3 linked regions of the Drosophila melanogaster genome follow. The protein of the gene in region 2 purifies or fractionates together with the protein of the main gene of each other region. This does not show direct contact. Each region holds a gene or a part of one and is shown on either strand. Other genes may lie near its edges.

Region 1 (5,009 bases), on a different chromosome or scaffold from region 2:
TACTTTTTTCACATTCAAGTGACAAATAGATGTTCACATAAGGAAACGCTTTGTCAACATAGAAAATTTAGAAGTTTAAATAACCATATCAATCTGCAGATCTATGCTGCAATTATTTGAAGTTGGGCGGCAGAGAAACTTTCAATTTTTAACACAGAAAGCAGAGTCCGACCGAAAAAGTAAAACTAAAAACCCTAAAGCGACTCACTTCTTGTGTGCAACTCGTTTGTATTTTTTAGAAACCTTGAATACAAGATTGTGTTGTGTGGCCAAAACCAGCTGAGGAACTGGTTTTCGAATTTTTTAGCATTTCTTGGTGACTTCTTGAGTCGTTTTCGTTCATGTTTCTTATTTTCGTTCGCCCACCAATGGGGCTTAAAGTCGCACGGCAAACATCGATTAAAAATGCACAGCTAACGGGTGGTGTTGTGTGTGATATTTTTGGCCAAAGTTTTGCGGCAACAAGAGTTTGTACTCTAAAACAAAAACAAAACAAAATAATAAGAAAAACGCTCGCTTAGTGGGTGTGGAGCAAGGAAATGGCAAGGAAAGGCGGGGCATGGATGGCAATGTTTGCGTTTCGTTTATGCCTTGTCACCCAACCAAGTCGCTCGTCTTGGCCACTATTTATAGCCGTGTTTTTGTTATTATTTTCCATTCGTCGAAATCTTTTCCCCCAGTCTTGGAAGTCGTCACGTTTATCGATTTGCACAGTCCGTCGACGGCGCGCAGAAAACGAAATGTTTTTAATTTTCTTTCTACGATCCACTTACAGACGTGCTTGCTTGTTCGCATGTGCGGCCTTTCTCAAAAGTTCTCTCTAATTAGGTAAATTAAAAATATATCTTGGAATCGTTATATATATATGCTATACATATATGCTTTACATACAGTTGCATTCATTGTGTATGTCACACATGTGTGGCGCACAAATTCTCACACATTCAGCTAGAATTTATTTTCTTGGAAATGTGTTTCGTAAAAGTTCTAAGTTAAGAAGAACATCAAATTGCAAGACAACGCTGCTCATTTTGGGAAACCACACAATGATTTGGCTCATGCCAAAAAATAATAAACAAATATTTCAAGTGGCAGAAACAAAACAACAACTTGTTTGCCATAACAACTGTTGAGTTGCGAAAGTGATAGAATGTCTAGAACGTTACAGAGGTCAACGTTTTTTCTTGCCAAATATTTAATATACATTTCAATTATTTATAGAAGTTTACGATGAAAAACAGTTTTATACCTAGTGTTGTCAGCATTTTATGAGCAATGGTATTCTACGTTCAAAGTCAACTATCTACGGAAACACAGATTATAAAATTCCACAAAACTAATTTATTTCATAAGACATTTAAATTGAAGCGATAAGAGATAATATTTCTTCAAAAATATACAAATTTTCGAGGTCTTAATGTGATAGATTAAAACTTTTGCTTCCTGCTATAGTTATAATTTATTCAATACCTTGTGGTAAAAGTAAAAGGGTCTCAATCGCCATTAAACGCTTATGTGCGAAAATATAAAACATTTAACCATTTTCCCTAAAGGTAACACTTGAATTCCCAATATTTTGCTGGCCAGTGAACAGCTGTTGCGGCACTATATACTTTCGCATTACTCCCGCTGCCGCCAACTATTGCAGCAGTGAAATGGAAATATTGCGCATACGCAGCGTTGGCATTGGAGGGTAACGACTGGATCGCACCGAATGCACACTCACCTGCAGAGGCACAACTTGCAGACGTTGCCAATGCTGCGACTCTTGCTTTTACGCCGATTGTGCTGGTAGAAGACCGTGGATGAGCCATTTTCCGGATCTATGACGGTTGTGCTGTGCGTAGCGCCATTGCTGAGATCCCCCGTGGCAGCAGATCCTCCAGATGCCGCTACACTGCCATCGCCAGTGGTTACTTTAATGCCGGTGGCACTGCCACTCCCACCACCACCGCCACCGATCGATCCCGCCCCCGCGACGCCCGATGACGTGTGCGTTAATTGCGCCAGTTTCGAAATGCTGCTGTAGCTACCGTTTGAGTGTTTGGCGCGCTCGCGACTCCGCTCATTTCTATAACGTATCTGGCCGGCGGCAGAGCCAAAACTGTTGGATCCGAAAAGATTGCCCAGAAAGCTGCCTCCGCCGCCGGCGGCAGAGCTGCCAGCGCCGGCGTCGACGCCGCTGTAGCCCATGGAGCTTTTGCGTCGCCCCCTAATGTTGTTGTTGTTCTGTTTACCGCTCGGTACATCGCGGCGTATGAGCAATTCGGTCTCCGAATCCGTTTCGCTCTCTTCGTCGAAATCTCGTAGCGGTACATTGCTCTCAGCCATTTTCAAAACAAGAGAGCTTAAAAGAGAGCAAGCGTAGTCAGCTTAAAGTAATAAGTTTTGATTAAAAGAGCTGTTCGAAAGAGTTTTGGCGCCTGAATTTAACTAATTAGCACCAGAAATGCAGTTTTACTCTCACTTTCAGATGATATTATCTCAGAAAAATTAAATGCTGGGTACTCAGTTAGTCTTATTGCCACGTTTCCATTGAGCAATTTTCAGGCGTGAACGACGGCTGCTCCTTATCACACCTGGAGTTTTATTCTTTTATTTTTTATTTGAGCGGTAAACAGGTAGGGTAAACACACTATATATACGCGTAAATCACAGGCATTCCCCGTCGTCCGCTTATCAGTGGCTACAGTTGCCGGCTACCAAATCGTCACCATAAATACCAATTGCCTACTATTGCTCAGCGTTTTAATTTAATTGATACGAATTCGATAAATAAAAGGCCAAGGCCCGGGCCACACACACATATGCACATGCACTTCATTTAGCACGTTGGTTTGCAGGCTTTTCGCGTTTTCAATTATTAAATCGATTATCGCACTACGTTTGGACGTTGTTTGGGTATTTGACAACACATTTTTTATTTATTAATAGCCCGGATGTAGCCCGAAAAACATTCAAATCCCGGAAGCAAGTTGCCAGCGAAATAATTTTGGCGAAATGCTAATCAGCTGGCTTTACAGACCACTGTTAACGGAACGGAACGTTTTGCAGCACTGACCAAGCAGTGGCTGTAATATTTTGAGTTTATTAAGGATTTAAAGCAAAACTTACATTTTAAATTATAAAGCAAAAGTTAATATAAGCAGATTGTACAATATTATGTAGTAACAGTAGCACATGGTATAATTTTTATAAGTTAAAGGAGCAATTTATCTTCATACTTTGCAACACTTTTTGGCGCCTAATTCAAACTATAATTAAAACTCATAAAAATACTTTTCAAACAGAATATACAAATAAACTAATTTTGGGGCTCAGCATTATTTCAGAACATATGAAGAAAGGCTTAGGTTTTCCGCATCGTAACCACTTCGTTTATTGTGACCTTGGATATTGTTCGACTTAATCTCTATCGACGTGTTTCTAATGTTTGTCATCCATATTAAATAAATATTTGTCATGTATAAAATATTTAATCTTTATTCGTAGCTTATATTAGCAAACAAACAATAAAAGGGAATTTACACAGAGATCTTAAACAACTAAAAATAATATTATCGCAATGGACTACCGTTCACATATACTTCACCATTGACTTTTATAATTTAAAAGTATACAATACGCGGCCAATACCAAGAAACCCGCTGAGGAGGAGCCGCTAAACAATGCTATCTTGGATATTGGATATAAACGCTGGAAATATAACACTTTTGGGTGCATTAGCTCAGCTGCGCTCAGTTTGCAGAGTTATGTTGGAGTCCGAATTGGAATAGTTATGCTCCAGTCGCGGGCGAAACTCATCCTCGCCATCTGAATAGGACCCCACCGAACGGCAAATGCTGCAAGAATATTACAATATATTATTATTAAATTTTATCCGGTAGTTTTTGTTTTTGGCTCTAAATATATGTATATATAGATTACCGTTGAGTTGACGCATAGCCTTCGATTGCCAGTGCCTCACTCACACCCGGCGGCAACAGCTGCTGGAGCAGTGCATCCTTGACCGCATTGACGCCAGTCGGCAGTGGCACATGATTCATGTCGACCGAAGAGTGCGATTGCGACAGGTGCGGCGCCGTCAACCCATTTGCCAAGCGTGCTTCTCCACAGCCAGCTCCAACTGCAGTTCCATCCCGTTCGTCGACCTCATCCCTTTGCGTTCGTTCGATGTAGCGAAGAGTGCTGAATAGCTCCAGCAGATTGCCAAAAGTGTTTCGCAGATCGCACTGGCCCGTGATGTCGAAGCACAGCTGCGAAACATTCTGGCGCAAAAGGTAGATGGCATACTTTGTTTGCTGCGACGGCAAAATGGAGCGTGTATACAGAGGAAATCTAAGATGGAACAATAAGATACCAAAAGGTAATATTTAGTCTGTGTGCTTACTCTCTTGTTGTGTACGTCAACTCTTTGATATCGTCCACTATCCTTGCTTTCGATGGCTCGTACAGAATACGGTTCCTCAGAGGTCGATCCATAATGATGGCTAACATCTGCACCAAATGGGCAACATAACCCAGTGCCGCACTCACTGCCAGCGGCGAGACGTTATCCAGAAGCTGTGCGTTTGCCGCCTGACGTGACTCGCTCGTGTATTGCTCCATGTGGGGGAAGGCGATGCCGCAGATACTAAATTGCCGACCGCCCACATTCTGGATGTTATAGATCTCCTGTAGCTCCAACACCAGTGTGGACATTCGGCGCTCCACCTTAAAAGGGTGAAAAGGTTTATTAATATACTTGTTTAATGTTATTTGATTCCGCAGCCCCACCTGCCGTTCTATTTGTCTTTTTTGATCGCGCTGTTCCAGATGTTGAGGTGCCAGGGTTCGTAGCTCCAGACGTTCTTTTTCCAGTCGATGTCGCTGGCTGTGGAGCTCCCATTGCTGTGCCTCCCGCTGTTCTCTCATCTCCTTCAGAAGTTGACGGGTGCGCTCGTTTCGTTGGCGAAACGTTTCCCGCTCCGCTTTAAGTAGCCGCTGTTGACTGCTTAGCGCTTCTATCC
Region 2 (4,971 bases):
AAAGTGGGCATTTCGATAAGCCAAATTAGACGCACTGTTGATTTATTGATCGGCAATTTGTAGAAAGATTTATTAAGCAGGAATTAAAGTAATTTTAAGATTGGGTAAATCTTTTTGCTACGTAAGTGTGAAGTGCAGCACTGAAAACAATTTTAGCATTCTTATAGATTTTGCGATGTGAACGCTTTTGAATTTTATTATGTGAGTATTCCCATTTAATAGGTGCGTTTCACTCACATAAAGTTACGACATTTAAAACCAAAATGGCAATCAATTAATTATATTAATGGCAAAAATTGCAGTTGACCCACAAACGAAAAGAGTCATTTGTTCTCCACGGCGACAACGTGGCGACGATTAACCCGGTTCTTTTTCCCGACCTCCGGGAACGGAAGGCGGACGGAGGTGCTCTGGAAAAAGGGCGGCGCAGAGAAAGGCAAAGTAAGAGACGGAGCTGGGCGTTGGGTGGTCCAACCTGGTTGAGTTCCACGAGAACGGAGAACAGAGTGAAAAATATACAAAAGAATTTCATCAGGCTGGCAGAAAGGTGAATACTATATATGCATTTGCAAACATTGCATGGATGTGTCAGCTAAAAATATATCCACCTGAATTTCTCCAATTTGCATGAAGTGGCGTCGATAAACAAATAACAAAATCAAATTTCAATGGATACGGTACGGTGGATGCGGGAAACCCTTTTTCCTGCATAGCAAGTGAAAACCGTGTCAAGGTCACATGTACATGATTCTACTCTTGGAAAGCCAGCAGCTCAGGCAACTTTGAGATTAGAATATGGTATCGTTGGAGAAGCAGAATGTAGTAGTTATCTGGACCTAGGTTAACCTACTTTAGTTGCAGTCGTAAATCAAAGCCAGCTTGCATGGTGGTCGGAGCAAACATAACCCACTTTTGGCCCCATTTTCGGCTGCATTTCAGTTTTGGGCGGTAGTCAATGTGCTTACCCACAAATCAAATTGGCCAGTATCAAATATTAAATGCTGCTGCTCAAATATTCACCACTGAAACTGAACCAAATCAACTGAATAAATATGGTACATATTCGTATAGCTAAACAAATCAGAGCAGCGACGACGAGCTGTTCTGTGTGCTTTAATTTGTTTGCCACAAAATTATATTAGCACATATTGATTTTCCCCTCCTCCTCGATCTCACTCAATTTTCGCTGATGACTGACTGGGAGCCGAGAACAAAAAGAGTTGGAAAGTCACTTGGGTGAGTGCCTGACCTTTAAATCGAATTATTTCAGCCACACCGAGCAGGCATTTAAAGTGATTTAATTAGGCCCGGAATACAAGAGTTTTATGCAACAGTGAAAATCGCTGCAACATACAATATCTCAGAACCGATACAGAAAGAAAATCGAACATAATTTGCAAGACTTAATGAGGAAAAATAAACCTATATGGGAAGATTTAGAATCTATAAAATCTGAAAGATATTACGCTTTAACAAATAAAAACCTGCTATTTAATAGCTGTACTGCCTATTTGTTTTTCAAAAGTAATTTAAATAAAATAATTCAAACATAGCAAATTAGCCTTCATATTTATTTGGCTTGATAAGGAAAAAGATCGGGATTTCCACGCCAGAATTTAAACAACTGCTGTGAGTCAGAAAGAATTTCATATCAAATAACCAGCGAGAACCGATGATTAAGTCAAAACAACCGGTTTTCGAGGATGGGAAATCGCGGGAAGGGGCCATAAATCAAGTATAACAAGTCCTAGACGAAAGGAACTCAAAAGCAAGCGCAGATTAAGATCGATTGTTGAAATGCAGATATGCTCAGCTACTACCTGACCACGCCCACACCCGCCCAGTTCGGTGACCCACGTGCAACAATAACAGACATGCTGATGCAGGTCTCCTGCAGGCAAATCCCCTACGTAAGATAATGGATATCATTTCCGAGATTATGTTTAACTAAGAAAAGAGATATAACACTCTTACAATCTATTTTTTGAAGTTTCATTAAAAATTGATAATGAGGCTAAGAATAATAGGTGTATTTAACTTACCTTAGCTTTAAGTCTGGAAATCGGTTCTTTGGTTGTTAAGGTTCCTAAGCTCCAATTGAAGAGGCTAAATTCAAAATACACATAATTGAAAATTAATAAAAAACCAAATCCAGTGTATACGGAGAGTATAGGACTTTAATAATTATTTGACTGAATATATGTATACTTTATAAAACTTTCGCTGCACTGTTGATAAAAATAAAACACGATATCTTTACTATTTTCGCAATTAAAACAGGGAAAACGCTTAAAAATGTTTACAAATGTATAAGTCACTTTGGTTTGACGATTTAGATAAGTTGATAAGTTGACTTTTTATCAACCATACAAATGCAAATTAAGATTCTTTGTATTTCCCCTGTTTGTGGCTAGCCGATATTCACTGTATTAACAAGGACGCAAGTGGGAGCGGGGAGAGCGGTGCACGGGCAGTGTTGCTGTTGTTTTGCGATAAAAAGAGTGGAGAAAGAAAAGAAAATAACTTCCAATTTTCGCCGTTGTTGGCTTTGTTGCTGCAAGAGCAAAGTGTCGACTGAAAAGTTGGCAAAATAAAATAGTGAAAATAGCATGGGCATCTTGGATTTTGCAGAAATTCCTTTGCTTCTCCTTTTTCCGCCTCAATTGGGGGTGGCACGCATACATACAAACAGAGTGTGTACATACATACACGTATGTATGCAAGTTAATTGTGCACAGTCACAATGGTCGAAAGAGAAGAAAGGGTGCGGGTCGGGAAAATCGAGAACGATTCACAATTGCACGTGCACTGGTCGCGATTTCCGTATATCGCCTCACTACTCCGCCGTAAATTACCGATTGGGCTGCCTGCCTTCTTGGTTGCTTTTTGCCGCACTTGGAGCGGAGCGAACAGCACAGACACAGATGTACAGCGCGGGTCCACGAATTTTTAATAAATAATTATTTTCCCGACTCAGTGTGACTGCAGCCACAGTCATCGAAAATCCATCCGGGCAGTTGGAAAATACCAATAATATATCGATAATATTTGTGCAGCTCTATCGGGTTAACAATAATGACTATCGACCGTTACAAGCGGTCTTTCAAAAATAAGTTTGAAAACTAGTAAATGTAGTAGAAACCAAAATAGGAGCCAGTAATGTAATTGAAATAAAAAACTGGCAGGCTTTTGATACATTTTGTCACTTTTAATACGAAATATTTTTGTGAAGGGCTACTTTACAATAAATCTATTTTTTTAGGCGTTACATTTCAATATAATGTAGCTTAAACTCTTTGTTTAACGCAAAACTACCAACAACTGCGTTTAACCCCTTTTAACCAACAAAAAGCTCGATGGCACTCAAGCTCAAAGTTGGTTTGTGTATTGGATGGGAAAGGTAAATGACTTACTAGTGATGTCGTGCCTTTATAAGGAAATTATCTAAAAAATAAAATATTTTGGCAAAAAAAAAGAATATATATATTTTCAGGGCAAAAGTGAGTTGTTAGTAGAAACATCCAACTTTAAAATCTTTTTTGAAGATAATATTCATGGCTAAAGCGGCATCACTGACCACGATCATTGGGGATTTCGTTAGTAGCGCGTTTACCGGCCGAGGAAACAGGTGTACAAAGAAACAAAGCCATCATAAAATCGGTAATTCCAAAGTGACTACCCCCATAATCAATTCAGAAATCAGCGGAATTATATTGAGCACGTTTCAGCATTTAGTTTAACTCAAGACTTATTTCCATTTTTCGTCAAAAAGTCAATAAGACTTTTACCTATTTTACCTTTGCTGAATTCCCCGTGTGCGTGAAGTAGTGAGTGATAAGATTAGGCGAATGGGTAAATGTTCCCTACGTGATAACAGGCAATTGGAACTTGAAGAGAAAATAAAGTGAATAAAGTGTAAATAAAAGAAACCAAATTTAGTAAATTAGTCACTGTGAATGGAAGGGAGTTAGTACGAGCTCCACATACGCAAATCTATATGTGCGACAAATGACAGTCATCGGCAGTGCCCGTAAACAAATTATGATAAAAAAGATAAATCTATTATACGAACAGAGGAGATATGCTCATATGAGCAGCTTCCGGCTTTCGTACCGCTTAAACTGAAATGTCCAGTGGAAAATTATCTAAATTGGACTGCGAGTGCTACCGAACCTGTCTCTGATATTGTTATTGTTATGGTTGTTGGCATAATGATAGTGGCAATGATATGTAGGCATATTGTATGGGGAGAAAATATGTAAAACACATATAGTATATAGTATGCCGTACAGAATAAATTGCCATTTTCGAACAACTTCTAAAATGTAAAATTCGTTAATAACCCTAAAGTAAACAACGATAAGGAGAGTACAAAGGTGAGCGTAAGGCTGAGATTTATATGGCCATAGATTGGACTAGCGTGGCAAACGTTGTAATGTGGCTAAAACAGCGGGCTTCAAATTTGGTAATATATCAAAATTCGATAGCTGTGAACGTGATCTTCCTGAAAATCTGGATCAGGCAACTTGTAAATGGCGTTAGAACAAAAGATCAGATGAGCACACAATTAGTCGTGGGTTTTGTGTCTACAACACAGGCCATTGTCACTAGTTATCCGCTTGGGTCATTGGCATTAAAATGGTAGTCAAAGTAGAACAAAAAGCTAAAAAAAAGTATTGGCTGTTGCACAGAAAGCTTCCCCTCTCGCTCGCAAATGACGTCACACAGGTGAAATGCATTGCACTGAATTTATTTCCATTCGTTTCAGTTTTGGTTTTAATTCGGTTTTCTCTCGTCGGTCATTAATTGGCAGACATGCAACTATTGCAGCATGGCCATTGTAATATATACACATGTACACATATGTACATATATCCGGTATAATGCTCCTATATTCATTGGGCAATTGGAGTGGTCAGCGGGCTGCGTGAGGAAATATTAATAATACATTTCTAATAAATAGTGTGCAGC
Region 3 (7,803 bases), on a different chromosome or scaffold from region 2:
CTGTGGCCAACGAAACCGCATCCGCCCTTCCGCTGCACTCACCGTCTACCTGTTGCACTCACTCACCTTTGGGTTTTGGTTTCGTCTGATTCTGAGCGTTTAATCTGCACTTTGCCCACCAAGTCACCTAATGATTTAGAAAGCAAACAGAGAAACGCTCTCTTTCGCTATTTTCTCACTAATTTTACGAATTATTTTCTGCTCCTGTTTAGTCGCACACCTTTAAAGTGAGAATATCGTTTGCCTAATATCACTTAAATTCGTAAATAACATGTTAAAATGTGTGTTTTCCATTCGAGTTGAATGTTCCAAGTTTTTCCATCTTTGTTTTGATTTGCTTACTTTCCATTGCGAATCAGATCAGCTGTTTAGGAGGCCTCTGCATGTTCACTGCCACAGACAGAGTTGCCACAACGACTTTTGAAAAGTCTTTTGCGGGAATCGAATTTGAAATTGAATGAATGGTTAATAATAAAAAGCAATACTAAAACATAAGCTCGTGGCAATTAAAATATCGATTTACTTGTTATTTATTTCGTTTTTATCATGTTTAAAATACAATAAATGTTATTCCTTTAAATATATTTGTCGATCCTGGTTTGAATGCACAAAATTATATTTCGTTCGATTCGGACAACGTTTACATCCTGTTTTCCCCGCAGGGAGAGGCGGCCGTTAGGGCCGTATATACACACATATGTATTAAACATATGAAAATTTGAGTAACGAAAATATTCTATTGGAATTTGGGTGTGATTGGGATGGCATTTGGATCGCATCCATACAACATATCAAATTCTAACGAGGCAGACTTTTGTCTTCGGGAGAAGAGTTTTGATTAAAATCACAATATGTATAGAATTATATACCCGGATAACTCTATTGTACACATAAATGTATATCTGTATAAATGGATATCTATGTGTTAAACATATACTTCAAAATTTCGGTAAGATGAAAAATAATGATAACGAGTAGCTGAAGCATCCATCGTTCCTTTCTTGGCTTGGTCGACATGAATGGACTTGGTCTGAAGAGGATTGGGATTGCGATATCTTAGGCGGGAGCCACGTTTGCCAGCTCCCGGTAGGCATCCTGCAGCGCCTGCTGCTGTTCCGGGCTCAAGGTGCTGGCACAAGCAGCCATTACCTCCGGATTCGATTCCACTTGTTTGACGATAGTGAGCATACGAGTGCCGGTGGCGGACTGCGCCTCAACCACCTTGGTGCAGAAGGATTCAGCGATGATGGAGACAATGCGCGGCAGATTGCCGTTGTTTGCCCCAAGAATGACCGGATGGTTGCCTTCAATCAAGTCGCATAGGTAGCCATAGATGTGGGCGGCTTCTTCCGAATCCTCGGACACCGGCAGCCATGAGAACCAAACACCGATCAGCTCGTCCACGTTGCTCAGCGCCGAGTTGTTGTACTTGAGGATCTTAGCAAACGCCGAGATCGCATTCTCTGTCGGACTGATGTTCTCGATTTCGCGGGCTTTGGGATCGTTGATGACCTGCACCAGCAGTGGAATGATCTGGGCGCATGTATGCGCAAACTGCTCACCAGCGAATTGGCCGAGCACCCCGCATCCGTAGGCAGCCGCCTGGCGCACTTCTGGGGCCTTATCGCACACGTACTGGACGAGGGCTGGCGTAAAGATCTGCTGGTATGGAGCACAAGCGGGGCCACAAAATTCTGTAGGTAAATGAGAATACAAGTCTTTAGTTTTATGGTGGCACAAATGATTTGATGTTTGAAGGTATCGGCGGTACTATTGAACTGCAAAACTCAATTAAGAAAACCAACTCACCGATCAGATCATCGAACACGCATAAGCCCCACTGCCGATCAGCTACAGGTCGGCTGGGCTCCAGTAGCTTGACAAAGTGCGGAGCCACCTGTTCAAAGGCGGGTAAGAACTGAGCCTTGTTGGTCTGGAAAAGGGCGTGTGTAATGTCCACGATTTTGGAAAGGATGTAAACATCTGTGTCGTCCTGCTCGGCCAGCTCCTCCTCCACACCGTCGTCGTAGTCTTCCTCATTGCGAGCCGCCAAACGCTTGTCAGCACGCTCGAAATGCTCCAGAACATACTTGTTTATAATCTCGAGAACTTGTTTCATGGCATCCTCGTTAAGGCAATTCGGACCCAATGTCTCAATGCATTTTGCCAGCGAATTCAGCAGCTCCGACTGCACGTCTGGCTCCGGTTCCGTGACGATTACCTTGAGCAGCTCCGGACAAATGAACATCCACATGCCCTCCAGATACTGTGGACCCTTAATTTTTGCGCAGTCGAGAAGGTAAGGCAGCGACTCAGCAGCAGCTGTGCGGACACCGTCGTGGAAGTAGAACTTAAGCATGGGCAGCATTTGACGCACCACGTCCTCAGCGTATTCGGCAAATCCTTCCTTTAGTTCCCTAGCATAACAAACCAGCATCTCACAGGCCGAAGCCTTGTCGTCCATGCCAGCCGTGCGAATGGCGAAGTTCTGCTGCTCGCCAAGATTAATGAAAGACCAGTCCACATCACCGTCGATGTCCTCCACCTCGTCGTTGTCCAGCATCGCCACCTCAGGCTTCATGGTGGCCGTTCGCATCACTGGTCCCATAACGAGGGGCAGATATTGCTCAAATTGCTTGCCAAGGATTTTGCACATACGTGCCCAGGCAGTGATGAGATAGGAGGTCTGCGGATCATCATCAGCTAGTTCCCCCCCCTCGGTGTGATTGACCAGCAGCATATCCATGACTTCTCCGGCATCACCAATAAACTTCTCCCGCCCCACCGCCAATCCTATCAAGCTCACGCATTCAATGGTCTTGCCGCGAAGCATGCGGAGATCATCCGAGTTGGCGTTCTGGATGATGAACTTAAGGCATGGCATTAGGCGATCGTAGTAGGCCACAAATTCCGATTCGCAGGTGTCTGCAACCGATGCAATTGTCGTCACTACCTGCTCCAGTACCAGCTTGTTTCCCTTCTCCACCAGCTCCTTGAACTTCGAGTTCAGAATAGTCTCCAGCTTGGCCATGATCCCGTCCAGGTAGCGTGTCAATATATTTTTCGGGCAGTCCTCGCTGAAGTTCACCAGAGCGGCACCTGCGTGTGCTTGCACTCGCGGATTTTCCACGTCATCCAAAAGAGACAAGAGGCCGGGAATCACCTGGCGAAACAAGGGAAAATTGTTAAGCATTTAATTAATTTCAATTGCTTATTAGAAAGTTGATAAAGCAGTTGCAATTTAAGACTCACCTGGCTGTGGAACTTCTTCTCGAAGGTCTGTGCAAAGTCGGTGGACATTTGGCCAATGGCGTTGCAAGCGGCGTATCGAACGCGAGGATGAGGATCGCTCAGGAAGTTCAGGACTCCGGACATTACCTCATCTAGGATGGCTTCCATCTGCTTGTGACAACCCTCACCGATGGCCGAGATGGCCATGAGGGCTGCGAAGCGATGTTTCCAATCGGCATGACCCAACATAACCGGCAGAGCGTTCATTACGAGCGGAAGCACAATCTTTCCTCCCAATCCACAGGCGAGGCGATCCAGCGAGGACTCGGCGATCACGTTGTTGTCGCTGTGATCGTCATCATCGACCACGTCGGCGGTGGACCAGTTCTCGTCATCATCCAAATCCGTCATCATATGGAGAATCAGCGGGATCAGGGCCACGATATACTTGTCCGCTCGCTTGCGTATCATCGACGGGGCGTTCTCGGCGAGCGACACCATAACTTCCAACACTAGGTGACGCCAGCTGTCCTCAAAGTCCTGCGAGCTGAAAACCTTCATGCAGACCTCAAAAATGAACTCCAGCTGGGGACGCAGGAACTTCGGGCAATTCTCGGTCATCTCAATCAGGAGCTTTAGCAGACTCTGATCATCCTGGGCCTCGATGGTCTCGCCAGTGATGTGGATCATGCGGGGCAGCATATCAGCGAAGTGCTTGTGGATGGCCGTCTCGTTCTCCTTGTCGTGGTAGAGGATGAAGGCTCCGACGGCTCGCACGGCCTGTACTCGGACCTCCGGATCGGATCCAGCGTCCATGCTCTTGGCAAGCATCTGCTTGATCAGATCAATGTACTGAGCTTCCTGGTTTCCAAATATGGAAGGCACACTAGAGAAGATCCGCAGTGCCGATTCCTGCAGCTGCGGCGTAGGCGAGTTAGCGCATTGAAAGAGAAACTGCAAGATGTCGGGCCACTGGTTGTTGCAGTCCTCGTCGATCAGATTCCTGGCCACCTCGGCAACTACCTCGCAAATCTTGCGACGCAGCTGCGGCGTCACCTCCTGCTGCACGGCCAAAAGGATCTGCTGAAGCAATTGGTTCTGGGATTCAGCTGGAAGCTGCAAATGAGGTAATATTAGAAAGATGCTCAGAGGGCGATTCTCTGCGCGGCTTTATGCCTACCCCTTTGTAGAAATCAAAGAACTCGGTGGTAAACAGGCGGCGCAGCAACACGGCGGCCATCTGTCGAGCCTCCTCCGACTGCTGGCCATTTTGGATGTTGCCCAGGAGATGCGTCACCTTCAGCTCTCTTGAAAGATTGTTGTATGCTTCCTGGAATTAAAAATGGTTTTTGTACATATCCATTCGATGTAATTTTAAAATATATAAATATTATTTATATATGTAAATACAATTCCACCTTGACAACATTGGGCTCTGAAACAATTTAAAACGGATCTCGATTATTTCCATCTCTCAAGTGAAAAGCAAAGTCACAATTCTGAATAGGTATTTTTAGCAATCCAGGTGGAACTTTGGGTGGAAGCGGTACCATGCTTGCCATCTGCCCAAGGTCAACAGAGTGGGTGGGGTTTTCTGGCTGGTGTGGCGTGGGCGTGGCGGTGCCATGTGGCGCCGGAGCGAGACTTCGGAATCCGAGTGGCTTATCAACCGACAGATTGCATTTCTGGAACCGTGTGTCATGGATTTCGCACCTGCTCTTTGTTTCCGTTTGCGGCGGCAATCGGTAAACCGAATTGCCTACTACGAATTCTAATGGAAAATCATGTGGCGGCCATGCAAATTGCACAATTCGCTTCCATTTTGCTTTGTTTGCTTGCTTCGCACCGTCTGTCCGTCGGCTCTCCCTCGCACACATGCGAATGTCGGGGCAAAGCGGAGGGCGAAAACACGTTTTGTACGATGAATCAGATTCGTCTGAAATTTCGGCCGTAGGATTCGCACACCGACGTTTGTTCGTGTGTATACATACATATGTGCCGGGAGAAGATCTTATTGATGGCAGTCCGCCGTATATTTTTGCTCATGTGCAACCCATTGCGGGAATTGCGCATCGAAATTTCGAGGCGACGGCAATACGCTCTGCAAGATCCCCTGCCACGCCGTAATCGAGAATATTGGGACTCACCTCCGCCTGCTGGCGAACATCGTTGTCCGTGGACAAGAGGGAGGCCAGAAGCTGCTGGAAATGGGCCTGATCCGCTGCCATCTTATCCTGTCTGGTTCAAATGAATCGAAACACGGGAACTCGTGGAAACCACGATTTTCACTTCAGTCTTCACGCAACGGCGGCCGCCTAAAAAGAGCAGAACGGAACAACTGGCTGGGTTGCCAAGGTTCGCAAACAAGCGCACTGCACTCTTGGTCAGTTTTCGTGATTGCCGTGAATCTTGGGATGGTTGGTCTTTGGTGGGTGCTGCTGCTGCGCGGCCTATCCAACTTTCTTTTATTTAACTTTTTATGCAATTTAGTGGACACGCTGGAATCTCGCTAAAGCGCTAAGGCAATACTGCTCCGCCGTTATCGATAAAACGCGACTGCTTTTGGCGCGCAAGCGGCCGCCCGCACTAGTGATGCCCGATAGCTGGCGCGTTTGTAGAACCGTCAAAAACTCTAGCTAAAGTTTAACAGTTGATTATGATCTTTTAACGGAAATAGAACTGTGTTAGTGTGAGAACACAAAGTATTTCTAAAAATTACAATCTATTTCCAAAGACCGTAGGACTGAATGAATTGTGTGTATTTAAAAGAAAAAGTCAGGTAGCCTAGATTTAAATGGTTTGTTTCTTGTTTAAAATAACTATGTAAATTATATATATATATTGTAAGCTAGAAACAAGAAATGGCTTGAAACTCATTTAAATCTAATGGCATATTATTCCGAGTGCACCATTCACCGATTTGTGTGCAGGTTTTCTAAATACAATAACAATCATTGGTGAAAATGATGAAAGGCAAGGCTTTTCTTGAACCGAAAAGCTTAAAAAGAAGCTGCACATGGGCTGCGATCTAGACATGATAAGTAATATTTATTCAATTATTGTATTTACATATGTATTTCTTGCGATCATTTAAGACCCTAACACCTCGGAAGAAGCATTGCTGTTAATGTGCAGCTGTGAGGCCACTATAAGGTTGTTACAATTCGTTTCAAGGCAATTATTCGAAAGTAAAGGACCCCCAATGAAATTCTGAACAGACTCTAGATTATAAGATAGACTATAGATAATACACCGCTGTCGGTGTGTACTAAATGTTGATTATGTTGATTAAAACATTGAAGACATTAGTAAGGTGGTTGAGCTATGAAAATCATCGATTACTCTGAATTCATGTGCTAAGTTAACGGGCATCATAGACCTTCAAGATAGCATAAACGTGGAAGATGGTGTCCATATGGGCCTGATAAATAATATATATGAAATATATATCCAAAATTGGGTCGCATTTGAAGAGTTTAAGACATTCAGCTGAAGGATGTCCTTGCGGAAGACTCGACACAGATTGGAATCAATAAATTCAGCCGATTCTGAGTTATATAATGACATTATGACATCGAAGCCACTGTTGAAAATGTTCGGGAAGACTGACTCCGTCTTGGTTTTTATGTCAGCTATGTTTTGAAATTACCTAGTATGGCATATATTGAAAAATTTCTGCTAGACTAAGCATTAGTATAAATATGTATATAACTAGTTCAAACCACAATTTTTGGAACCATAAGAATTGTTCGCACTTACGAAATAGTGCTAATGGGTTATCCTTTAACCAGGCGCTTCAGATTGGTAAAGAGCCGCAACGTGAAGTGGTAGATCATTTCCACAAGACTCAAGATGGAGAACCCCATGAATAGACCGAAAATGCCACCGCAATTCGCCAGAAACTCGGTCATTCCGTAAAGCTCCGACCGCTTTGAAGTGATGAACTGACTCTGCTTGAAGTAAATGGACAAGCGGGACATCTGGGAGCCGGGATACTCCTTCAGGAACTCAGTGTCGCCCTCAGCCACTAGCATTTCTTCCAAATCAAAGTTGGCCTGGGAAATCTCCGTGTTGTAGACGAGGGATGTGCATGCTGGCATGCAGTTACAGGCAGATTCCACGCTCCGCGAATTTTCTCGGCCAGCGTTCAGCGCTTTTACTCTTTTGAATTCCCTGACTAACAACTCCCTTTCTGCCCGATCGTAGCAGTGGATCTTGTCCTCTCCGCATACAGGCATGTCCACGTTTCTGGGCATCGAGAACTTAACGCATCCGCACTTGGTCAGCGTGAAGTTGGCCAAGCACTCCAGTTGGCAATTTGATTCGGTGTACACCTTAAAAAAACGCAGCGACCGCTCGTGGCTGAGGAAGCACTGCCTCCGAACTGGATGGTACTCTGCTATTCCCGACGACATGGTGATCATGTTGGGCTTCACTGCGATCAGCACCTCCTTGCCCATGGGAATGCGCACAAACTGTTTGGAAACCTGCGGGACGTCATCGGGCGCATGAAGCAGTACCTGTAGATTGGCATTACTGTAGACACATATTGGAGCAAGAAAAAGCAAACAG

Evidence for each region. Proteins that work in one complex are often made in the same cells at the same time.
Region 1: the proteins of ZnT63C (region 2) and CG31729 purify together in Drosophila melanogaster (affinity purification with mass spectrometry, with the first as the bait; one large-scale study listed by BioGRID). This does not show direct contact.
Region 3: the proteins of ZnT63C (region 2) and Karybeta3 purify together in Drosophila melanogaster (affinity purification with mass spectrometry, with the first as the bait; one large-scale study listed by BioGRID). This does not show direct contact.

Annotation. Positions count from the first base shown.
Region 1 is NT_033779.5:13,288,009-13,293,017, reverse strand, and holds the start of CG31729 (uncharacterized protein), read right to left. Parts: upstream 3,022-5,009; 5' UTR 2,332-3,021; coding exon 1,727-2,331; intron 10-1,726; exon of another isoform or gene 1-9. Other genes in the region: Uvrag (UV-resistance associated gene), read right to left, coding at 3,728-3,842, 3,928-4,338, 4,391-4,713, 4,777-5,009.
Region 2 is NT_037436.4:3,301,737-3,306,707, reverse strand, and holds the start of ZnT63C (zinc transporter 63C), read right to left. Parts: upstream 3,001-4,971; 5' UTR 2,856-3,000; exon of another isoform or gene 2,435-2,855; intron 2,107-2,434; 5' UTR 2,043-2,106; intron 1-2,042.
Region 3 is NT_033777.3:4,647,343-4,655,145, reverse strand, and holds Karybeta3 (karyopherin beta 3), read right to left. Parts: upstream 5,971-7,803; 5' UTR 5,460-5,970; coding exon 5,379-5,459; intron 4,562-5,378; coding exon 4,412-4,561; intron 4,348-4,411; coding exon 3,253-4,347; intron 3,164-3,252; coding exon 1,810-3,163; intron 1,695-1,809; coding exon 1,057-1,694; 3' UTR 522-1,056; downstream 1-521. Other genes in the region: rpk (ripped pocket), read right to left, coding at 7,008-7,751.